3 linked regions of the Danio rerio genome follow. The protein of the gene in region 2 interacts with the protein of the main gene of each other region in a pairwise test. Links are inferred from orthologs where the notes say so. Each region holds a gene or a part of one and is shown on either strand. Other genes may lie near its edges.

What was found.
Region 1: the proteins of lmo2 (region 2) and hnrnpm interact in binary tests that used the Homo sapiens proteins (3 or more experiments, as listed by UniProt). The link is inferred for Danio rerio from reciprocal best matches to the Homo sapiens genes LMO2 and HNRNPM.
Region 3: the proteins of lmo2 (region 2) and stat1b interact in a two-hybrid assay, tested with the Homo sapiens proteins (2 studies listed by BioGRID and IntAct). The two-hybrid records come from large-scale screens. The link is inferred for Danio rerio from reciprocal best matches to the Homo sapiens genes LMO2 and STAT1.

The regions. Positions count from the first base shown.
Region 1 is NC_133197.1:17,222,996-17,227,415, reverse strand, and holds the start of hnrnpm (heterogeneous nuclear ribonucleoprotein M), read right to left. Parts: upstream 2,864-4,420; 5' UTR 2,651-2,863; coding exon 2,613-2,650; intron 576-2,612; coding exon 400-575; intron 1-399. UniProt on the Homo sapiens protein: Pre-mRNA binding protein in vivo, binds avidly to poly(G) and poly(U) RNA homopolymers in vitro. Involved in splicing.
Region 2 is NC_133193.1:41,222,850-41,225,647, reverse strand, and holds the end of lmo2 (rhombotin-2), read right to left. Parts: intron 1,705-2,798; coding exon 1,482-1,704; 3' UTR 654-1,481; downstream 1-653. UniProt on the Homo sapiens protein: Acts with TAL1/SCL to regulate red blood cell development. Also acts with LDB1 to maintain erythroid precursors in an immature state.
Region 3 is NC_133184.1:42,946,801-42,951,035, reverse strand, and holds the start of stat1b (signal transducer and activator of transcription 1b), read right to left. Parts: upstream 2,802-4,235; 5' UTR 1,818-2,801; coding exon 1,690-1,817; intron 1-1,689. UniProt on the Homo sapiens protein: Signal transducer and transcription activator that mediates cellular responses to interferons (IFNs), cytokine KITLG/SCF and other cytokines and other growth factors.

The sequences.
Region 1 (4,420 bases), on a different chromosome or scaffold from region 2:
AGGGGGTGCTAACTCAAGGATTGGGAAAAATGTGACCACTCATGGGTTGTTACTGAAATACTAACCAACAGGTTATAGTAAATAAACTACACACTTTCTCCAAAGCCGTAGAGACCGATTACAGGAATCAGATTCATATGAATGGATTAATCTCAAGTTCTTAATGCATGTGCAAATGCACACAGAATTTTAAAGTTCCATCCACCCACATTAGCAAACTTAATTAGACGGTTTCAACAACAGCCTTTCCCCCTCAAGACACTATTAGAACAGCCTTTCTCCGAGACCACTTCCCCATGATGGGATGTTTGTCCTCTGACCTAAAGCAACTGTGTAAGGTGGCCACCTTCAAAACTAAAAGGGTCCTGAGAGATACAACCATGCAGCACAAAAGCGTACCTTTTTCCTTCATGAGATCTTTCAGCGTTTGCCATTTAACATCATAGGGAATGTTGCTGACAAACACGCTGTATCTCTTGTTGGGGTTCGAATAGGGTTCGAACCGTCCCCCACCACCACGCTTCGGGGGCCTTTCCTTTCTCGATTCATGGTTGGACTTGCCGTTCACTGCATTTCTGTATGGAAAGAACATGCAAATTAATGCTTTTTGCACCCAGAAAGAAACAAATTCTATCCTGAATGACACAAAACTACATTATGCAAGCAGGTTTGAGTTGATTGCAGATTTTTCTTTACTCATTTAAATAGTCTAAGTACTGTGTAAACACTTGATGTTGTTTCAATGAAGTGAACTATAGAATAAATATCTAATAAAGCCTTTTTTCAGTTTTCAACTTAAGCAATTTAATAAAAATGCATTATGTAAGAGAAGTAAAAATGTACAAAATAGATAGTTTGCAAATGAACAGCTGTATATGCTATGCTTTTGTTTTGTTTTTTTAAAAGCAATTGTTAATTGGGTATGGGACGATAACCGTTTTTAAGGTATAACGCCATTTGGAAAAGACAAGGTTTCAAATCCACCAAAATTTCCTACTATACCACTCCTAAGGTATGTGTAAGATTTTTTTCTTTAGTTTTGTTTAGGACAACAGTATCTGCAGCAGAAAAGATATCAAAAGAAGTTGTTTTAAATTATAAAGAAAGCTGTGTTTTTGAAACTAATGAAGACAGAAGTCAATGATTTATTTTCAATATTCAGCCTGACATGTTTACTGCTCCAATTTTTTTTGTTTCTCAAAAAAAAAAATTGTGTTTAAAAGAAGGGAAAAGTTTTAGTTTTTTTTACCCTGACATTTAAATATAATATACTTTAGAGCAGTGAGCACAACACCATCAAACCGTAATAGTTTTATCCAAGGTTATCAAACTGTCAGAATCTTACACCAGCCTATGCAGAATGTTAACAGACTGCAAAGTTGTTGGTCTTTGGTGGGGAAAATGGAAAAGATCTTTAACATGCAGCTGGATTTTGACCAAATTTCTTTGATTTTGGGTATACCTAAAGGACACATTCTTTTTTTCCCATCAAGAAATTGTATCATATTAACCTTAGCCACCAGAAAAAAAATTTATTTTACTTAATTGGATTTGTGATAAATCCCGTTAATTCCCCTGGAACATCTCACCCACGTTTTACACACACAAAAAAATATTCAAAGTTTGGATTCTAGATTTCGATTATTATTTTTTTAACAGTGCCTGTGCCCAATCAAGCTAAAAATACTGTAACTGTTCTTATCATCTAAAAAATGAGCTATGTTTTTAACCTTTCTTCTGATCTGTTTTATTTGGGGTATTCCTGATAATCTGAGCTTTTTTCTCGATTTTCATTGTTTTTTGTTGATATCAGGGCAGGGCCGATATACGATAGGACATCGAATTGCAATAAAATTTGTAAATGATAAACTCTGGACTTTTTTGTACTCTATATTGATGTAAGAGCCAATCACACAGCATAAATAAGCAACAATTGTAATGTAAAAATGTTGATATTAGAAATGTATCGATTTTTTTCGGCCACCGAAAATATGTTATGCCATTTAATGGACCCTTTCATTTTTGTGGCTTCAGTCATTGTTGAGGTACTCAATTCATTCTGGAAGCATTAACAACTTGCATCAAAATATATATCGTTATCGTTCAATATGGAAAAATGTATCGAGATCTTTTTTGGCAAATCGCCCAGCCCTAGTTGATTTTTATTTGCGTGCTTTTTGAAGTTACATTATGCATGTATTACTGAAAAATCAAATACACAATTACATTAAAAGCAGTTGTTTTCCCCAACAATTAAGACTAAAACCCTGAGAAAATGTTTTATATTTATATACAAAAGAGTCAACTCGTGTTTGTTACCCAATGTGAACTATTATGTTTCATCTGCAGGCTTTATTTCGCTTAGAAGACACATTTGTGTGTGGCGTTTCCCATGCTGGTTTCCTGCAGCGTGATTCCAACGCCTTTGTTTCGGCAGGATATGAATGAATCAACCAAGCGAGTTTGGAATTAGACATTAAACGTCGGTATATTTACTGCAACTTAAGTAAAAATAACTATAGGTACATCATACACTGCAACACTCCACACCTAACATTGACATAAACAATTAAAAGGCAAAACATGAAAACAACATGCAGTTGTCGCATTACCCTTGGCCTGTTTTCTCTGGCGAAGCCTCAGTCGACATTTTGCTCTCAGATGTCCGCGTTTTCTTCCTTCCAGATTAAACTGCTCGTGGATCCTCAGACGCGGTTTATAAACACGCGTTTATAGTTAAAAACAAAGGTAGGTGTTCAGTCGCTTTTCCGTCCCGTGAGGTGTCGCTAAACCCGCACAAAAAATTCAGTCGCAACTCTCGTCCTTCGCCTGCTGAAATGGCGGCGATGCTGAAAGAGCGACGCTGATATTGGAGGAGAAGGAGAGATGCATGATGGGAAACAGACTGACGCAGTTTAGTTTAAATCTCAATGGATAACGTTGTACCTACGAGCACTATTTTTCTCCACAGCGTTATTTTATTTGGAAAAAAATATATGTATTTTGTATAAACACAAGAGTATTTTTGGAGAGGTGGTTTGAAAAGGGTTTTGTTTTAGTTTGTGAACTGTTTAACATTCCAGGGTATCCTATGAAGAGTTTCTTGTAACTTACAATTTAACTTCCCTGTAACTCCCATGGACTTTTCTTTTGTTTTCTGTGCAATTTATTCTATTATTGATTCCTTATTTAGAGATGTAACTTGGATTAATTTGCCCATAATCAATCTAGCTCATTTTTTTGTTACAAATAAAAGAAATATCTTTAAAACTAATTCATAAATTCTATCCGGTTAAACATTAACTCAGTAAATTTAAAAAGGAAATTGATATAAATTGCTCGTTTGTACTTTGCATTTGGAAAATGCAATCATATTTATTTTGTTGATTAAGTTTCATGTTTATAAGTGTACATTTTCTAACAAAAAATCCTGTTTTACTTTGTTTTATAAGGAACTAAAAAAAAAATACTTTTGTACTATTCAGCATAGTGCTAAAGGCCATTAAAACGGCCCATTTGTGCTCTAGTTTTAAAATCTTTGATTAATGAACAGGTCCTGCTTGTCTGTAATTGTAAGAATTATATTGAATTATTTATGCTCTTGTTTTTATTTATTTTTTGTACTGTTATTAATATTTACTGTTCATCACCCTGGCATTATTTTATTTGCTATATTGTCATGTATGTGTAAAACCATAATTTAAAAAATGGATAACAGTATTTGTTTTGCCATAAAGAAGGATAAAAAAACTATAAAACAAGAGCTCTTTTTCTTGAAATCAGTTTCTCTACCGCTCCTGCTGTCTCATATTGGAACATTGATCATATTGGTCTTTTTGATCATGAAAATATATGGTCAATACAGCAAGTTTTGTCTTACTAATAAGGTAAAGGAAATATCATTTAACTTTTTAAATAACATTTACCCTGTCAAAAACACCTTAAAGAAAAGATTTGGATCAGACTTTAGTACAAATTGCTCCTTTTGTCAAAATAGTGCTAAAACTCTTCCTTTGTCATGCAACCGTGTTCCAATTTTGGCAAGATGTGAATTTATTTATCTCAAATATTGCTTTACAGCTTTTTTCTGTGACTCCAAAAGTAATTATTTTTTTATTTTTAAAGCCTTCAAATTTTAATGTCTACTTTATAATAAACATTCTTTTTATGCAGATTTTGTTTTATTTATACGTTAAATGTACATTTTCAAAGTGCAAGCCAACATTTATAGCATTTCATACAAGAGATTCAAAATTATTACTAAATTCCAGATTCACTTAACAAGAAAGCACTTAAAACATACTCTTAAATCTCTTAATCACTGTTATCTTCTTATTTTGCCCTCTTCACTCTCAATTTGATATTTCTTAGTTTTTTTACTCTTATTTTGCTTTTTTTTATTCTTCATTGACAGCATTTT
Region 2 (2,798 bases):
CTGGATGTAAACACAAACACCAACTAAAAGTTTCAGTGTCGTATGTATTGTGTGCTATCAGGTGACATTCTTGCTTTCATGATGTTTACAACAAATTCTGGCATTTTCACCTTTAAAACTTCCCCTCACCGGATAGTTTCTTTTTTTCCGGGCTATTCTCTATAAATACTTGAGTTGACAGTGAATAAAAATAAATAAATAAATAAATCAGTTTCTGAAATATATTTACAAGAGCCATATGGCACCAACATCAATGTCACGTTCAGCCAGTCATTTAAATTAACATTCTTGCCCATTTTCTTGATCGCATCTGCATGCCTAATTTAGTTACTGCCATATAACATTACATGGATGTAGTTTTTTTAATTTGCTTGTTTTTTGTTGCAGTCTTTTTTAATGTTCAAGCCACATGACCAACTTTAAATGAGAGATTTAAAGCATCAGACCTTAATTTGGCTATGCGATGGTATCGAAACAATTCTTCTCATTTCTCACTTTATGATATTTGTGTTTACTTCATGTGAAGAGCATAACCTAAGCAGAGAAGTATCTAATTTAATTGGATCAAGGTAAAAAAGGTGATCTAATATGACTGAATTTGGTAGGAGTAAATAAAATTTCACCAACAATAAGTTTTAGGTGTCAGATCATGATTTTTTTTTTTTTTTGGCATACAATATGTACACAATATATATGAAATGTATACAATATGTCCTTTTAGGAATATTGGGTGTGCTCTGTTGGCACTTTGATAACATATTATAGATATCACATCACAAAAAAGCATCACACAATAAAAAATAATGTGAAAAAATGTTTCTTGAGCTCCAATTAAAGCTAATATGACACTGAAGATGGGATTGAAGACTGCTGAAAATGCAGCCTTGCATCACAGAAATAAAATACATTTTTAAAAATTGACAGAAAACAGTTGTCCAGTGAACAAAATGCAGCTTGAGAGAATAAGCATCATCTTTCTAAGATGTCTGTATATTTTATTGCAATTGTGTTACTTCAAAACAAATAGTACTATAGTTCAAATCGAAGTAATTGTGTAAAAGTAGCAAAGGGAATCAGTTTTTATTGCAATACATTAAAAATTGTATAACGCTGTTCTGCAAAAATATATCAAATTTAACAAAAAGGTTCTTGTTGCTGGTGGCAATTATCATTCATTCATTCATTTTCTTTTCGGCTTAGTCCCTTTAAAAATCAGGGGTCGCCACAGCGGGATGAACCGCCAACTTATCCAGCATATGTTTTACGCACTGGATGCCCTTCCAGCTGCAACCCAACACTGGGAAACCTGGTGGCATTTTTCTCAAGTTTAAATAACAAAAAGAGACAAGCATTTAGAGCACAGCTACTAGAGCCAGAATTATATTTCTTTAAAATATATATTTTGTTATTGATGTTCTATTAGTAAAGGGTTTGTTGAAAATGCTGACAGGTTACATTTTGTTTATGATTTCGGCAGAAAACTATACTATGCTGCCGTTGAGTTTGGTCCACTCAAAAATGTCCTGCTCACACACAATGTCCGAGTTGATGAGCAGGTAACGATCTCCAACACAGAAGTGTTTCTGACAGGCAGCACATTTGAAGCATTCGAGGTGATAGACTTTGTCACGCACACGCATGGTCATTTCAAAGGCCCGGATCCTCTTTTCACAGGAAGCACAGAGTCCGTCCTGACCAAACAGTCTGAAAGGAAGGAAACAATATAGTGATTATTTTGACCAACAGAGGGAGCTATGAGCTAAACTTATGAAAGGAATATTCACCCATTTTACAGTCTATGATATTTGATTAAAATTGCAATTCTGTTATTTACTCTCGATACAATTGTTCCAAACCTTTTTGAGTTTTTTTTTTTACTTTAGTGAATACAAATGAGCTTCAATGAAGGTGCTTTTTTATGTTTTAAAATGGGAGCCATTGACTTCCATTTTTTTTTCTACGGTTGTCAATGGTTTAACAGCCTCCAACTTTTTTCCAAAATGTCTTATTTCAACAGATAAAACTCACAAATATTTTAGTACATTTTTCTATTCAGGTAAACTAAACCTTTAAATGCTTTTGCACCACTACAGCAACAAAGAACCTAGGCTTCATCTGAAATCCTACTATAAAAGAAACAAATATGTGACAAAAGTAATATGTTCCCAGTTGGCACCTGGATGTCAAAACGACATTCAAAAAGACATCACAAATTAGGGCTGCACGATATTGGAAAAAAACGTACAATATTTTGTCATATTTATTGCGATATAAATAAAATTTCACCAGATGATTTGAATAACTTTATTGGGAAAGATTTAATTTATTTAGATTGACTGGGATGATCAAGTATTTTTCTATGGAGTACATGTGCATAAATGATAATAGATTAGAAGCAAAAATAAATAAACAGTGGTATAGCTTTCAGGAAATGTCTGACAGTAACTGTAACAGCAAGTACAGAAATGGAATCAAACGTAAAATAACATGGTCATCATTGGGGAAAAAAATAATAATAAAAAATAATAATAATAATAATAGGTGACGTAGTGGCGCAGTAGGTAGTGCTGTCGCCTCACAGCAAGAAGGTCGCTGGTTCGAACCTGAGCTCAGATGGCGTTTCTGATTTTGCATGTTCTCCCTGCGTTAGCGTGGGTTTCCTCCGGGTGCTCCGGTTTCCCCCACAGTCCAAAGACATGCAGTACAGGTGAATCGGGTAGGCTAAATTGTCCATAGTGTGTGTGTGTGTGTGTGTGTGTGTGTGTGTGTGTGTGTGTGTGTGTGTCTGTGGATGGATG
Region 3 (4,235 bases), on a different chromosome or scaffold from region 2:
TGTTTAATGCTTTTTGTGCAAGACTGTATGGTATAGTTAGTGCCAGACGAACTGTAAAGTGTTTTTATTGGTAGTTCATTTTGAAATAAAAATTGTGAAATGTTCGTTAAGAGTTACTTTTTTCGCTGGAGGAAACAGCTGTGCTAATGAGGTGAACGCAGAGAAAACCCCACTGCTCCTCCATGACACTGGGATACAGATGATACAAGGTTATCTATATCAAAGAACTGCTAATAAGCAGACATTATAACACCTTGTTCTCTCGACGTCCACGGCTGTGGTTTGCTGATCAAATGAAAAAAGAAAAGAAGGGGAGGAGCGGAATTCTGCCGCTGTTTCATATTAAATTTAAAGGTGACTGAGGCAATAATTGAGTGTACAGTTCATGAGCTAATCGCAAAAAGTTTTAGGGGGGCTGAGTAGAATAGGCCTAGCAACACCCATGTAAATATGTAAATAATAAATAATACTGCTAATAATAATAACATTACACAAAAGCAAATTGTAATGAATAAACTAAAAAAGCCCCCAGAGATAAAGAAGGCATGAAATTATGGTTTTTATATTTATGTAGGCTAGAAAAGAATATTTTTGTTATATTTTAATCCTTGAATCCTTTTTAATTTGTAAAGATATTTGTGTATTGCTGTACACCTTGTATGTATTAAGCAATGTGTCAGCGAGGTGCACAACTAACCTGCTCTGCGCTGGACTTTAGACCTGCTTTGATCTGGTCTATTGAACAGACAATTTAATTCTGTCACGGTTGCAGGTTTGTGCACCTTTCGGAGTGTCTGTTTGGTCACGTGGGTTTTGTTTTGGTTGTGCACGTGTATTGGTTATAGTCACGTGCTATGACTATACTCTCTGTTTTGATTAGCTCACCAGCTGAGGCTTACTATCGTGCCTATATCTGGGCGACGCTTCTATGTTTCTTTGTCAGTTCGTTGTGTTTGCTCGTGGGTCTGTCTGTGCTTAGGACTGTGAGGAGGACCCCGTTCGTCTGTCTGTTTCCTACCCTGTTTTCCCAGTTGTCCTTGCACACGCATACAGCCCTGTTGGTTTGTTTTGACTGCATCAAATAAACACGTTACTTGCATTTGGATCCTTCTCTAAATCTTGTTTGATTGTGACAAATTCCTTAAAATAGCAACGTGCCTTAATACACTTGGTTTTTTAGACCAGAATGCCTATGAGCGCTAATGCATTTGTTATTTAAATAACGTGGTGCAAAACGTCAAAATGACTCTTGCACCATGCAGAAATTAGCAAACAACCTTTGAGTCGCGCCTTGCGCCTCATTGCACCGGGTGTATGATAGGGCCCAAAGTGTTGACCTGCTTTACTGTGGAAAAAAAAACATTCATTTACACTATATCGCCGACCCTGTCTACTTCTTCCCACAACAAGACCGATTTGTCACAGCGGTGTTTAAATGTCTGTACTGCACTTCAACAATGCGACTAAAATCAGCATACTCCACATGTCTTAATTCCATTTCTGTTTAGTTCGATTATGACTTTAATCGGATTAAATTAATCAAAAATCGCTGTTTACTCTTAATCAAAGAATTGTCCTAATTGTCCGGATTATTGGTGTCCATGTAAACATGCTCTTTGTCTCAAAATGATGATGATTGGTAGCAATTTATTATGCAAAAAATTTTTAATCATTATTTTAAAATCTCACCAGTCATGACTCTCAATCCAGTGACATAGATATTGTCGGATCTCCATTGGGAAAGCCTCATCGTAAAGCTGGTCCACTTGCTCCAAATACATTGAGTCCAGCAGCTGCAGCTGGTTCCAGAGCGTCATCTGCAAACATAAAATTGCAACCCGTTATGCAACCCTCTCTGCGTTGACATTTCTCACCAAGCACCTTGTTTTATGAAATTATTACTTTAGTTATTATTGCTTTTAATATTATTTCCATTAATAATAATAATAATAATAATAACAGTAATAATAATAATAAAATAATATTAGAGAGATTTTTAAAGGATCATGGAACTCTAAAGACTGGAGTAATGAAGCTGGAAATTCATCATTAAAATCACTGGAATAAACAATTAAATTAAATGACAAACTACTTTTGAACAGTTATTTTATAGTGCAATAACATTTCACAATTTTACTATTTGTACTGTATTTTTGATGAAATAAATACAGCCTTGGTGAGCAGGAGAAGCTTATTTTAAAACATTTTAAAATCCTGCTGACCCCAAACTTTTGACCAGTTGTGAATATAAATACATATATACATTTTTCACAATAAATGGGACTTTTATAAAATATTATTTATTTTAATTAATAATTTAATTAAAAGTAGTTATAACTTTACAATTTAAAATGTTTGATTTATTTTTAACTCATTGTAAATTGTAAAAAAGTTTAATAGCCATCAAGCCCATGCATATAAAATCTTTTGCATAAAAGTCATGCAGATATGATCAAAAGATATGAGAAAATGAAATAGCCATCTACAGCAGAAAATTATTTTAAGAGATCCCTAAAGCTTCTAATCTATGCAATTAATTTACTTATTTAAAACGTTTTCATTTTCTAAAATGTATGAAATGAAATTACAAATTACATGATATGACATTCACTAATATTTCATTACATTATAAACAAAAAGCTGCTTTACGTGGCATTTCATTATCTCCAGCTTTCCCATAGCATTTTGCATGAACAAACTCATATAAAACGCATAACATGTATTACCTTTCAACGTGGACGTTTAGTCAAGTCACTAAAGGAGTGTATCTCGGGATAAGCAGATAAAATACGCGTAGACTAAACTGTCTGCTTCAGCCTTTTATTCTCCTCAGTGACTTCGTAATTATAGAATACTCACAGAGGTGGATGTCACATTAACTTCTCAGGCCAATGGTAACGCTTTAACTGCCATATTTAAATACACCAGCGATGACAACCAATCACGTTCTGATGCGTACAGTAAAAGCACGCCCCCTAGCCAATGGCTGTTCCAGGGAAGCGCAGCCCTCCCTTTACTCTCACACTCAATACAGAATAGGAACTGATAAGAGAACAGAAACTCAGCGAAACACAAAGATGTTGTTATGCCTTTTGATGGACGGATACTAATACTTCATAATAAGATGATAACATTTCATTATTTATTTCTTAAGATACATAAGAATAGCTATATGATCAATAAAACGCGTACGGAACAGAAAGTTCATGCTGAGATGCTTGTTGTCAGGGGGAGGTTACGAAACTCATAGCACAGCCACTAGCCATCGGGTAAGCACACGTTTTCCGAGAAAACGAGAGTTAAAATCAAATGCTGGAAAGAAACAGAAACGAAACTTGGATTTGTCAATTCCATGTTATGTTTTTGCACACCACTGGGTGAAGGAGTCCTAATAAATACCAAACTGTATAAATTTAATAACACTATTCACTTAAATGCTCATTTTATACTCAATATAACAAAACACTAAATCATTTATTTCGGGAGTGTACTTACTGTAAAGTGTTTTGGTTTGACTTTTCCAATTTCATTAAATTCTTACTCCAAACTTGTGTATATACCCCAAAAATTATATTCTTTGGTTACTTTGTACTTAGATCATTCTCTTTGTAAAGGTACTATTAGTTCATTGCTTTTTCTAGCTAAATTTTATATCTATAAATGTAAATTTTCAAAGAAACATCCTTTTTTTTTATTATTAGGAAGGATTCTGATGTATACGTGAAATACTTAAACTTGAATAATTATATTGCATTTCTTGTTGTAAAACATTTAAACTTTTAGACTCTTGTTTTCTCTCTTTGTTCATATTGTATCTTTGTAAATGTTAAATGTTCTTAAATGTAATCTAGCACAGACGATTATTCTGGTAAGATTTTACTTTTAGCTTGAAACAAAGTACCAAGATAGAACTGCAACTCAAAGTTAAGTATATTTTATTATGAAGACTCAATCTCAATATTTTGTATATTGTCTTTATTTATAATTCATTATTCATAAGTGTAAATGGGAAATAAATAACCTAGTTTTACTTATTAATTACTACCTTTGTACATAAAAAAACAAGAAATAAAAAAGTGAAAAAAGTTTCAAACGTATTATCTTAAATGATTTGTTACTATTTACACCAAAATTTGAGAATGGATGTCTTGTTGTTAATTATATTTTTATTACTTACTACTTTTTCTATGTTTTCCTTTCATTGAATTATTATTTTTGTGCTATTGCCCTTGTAC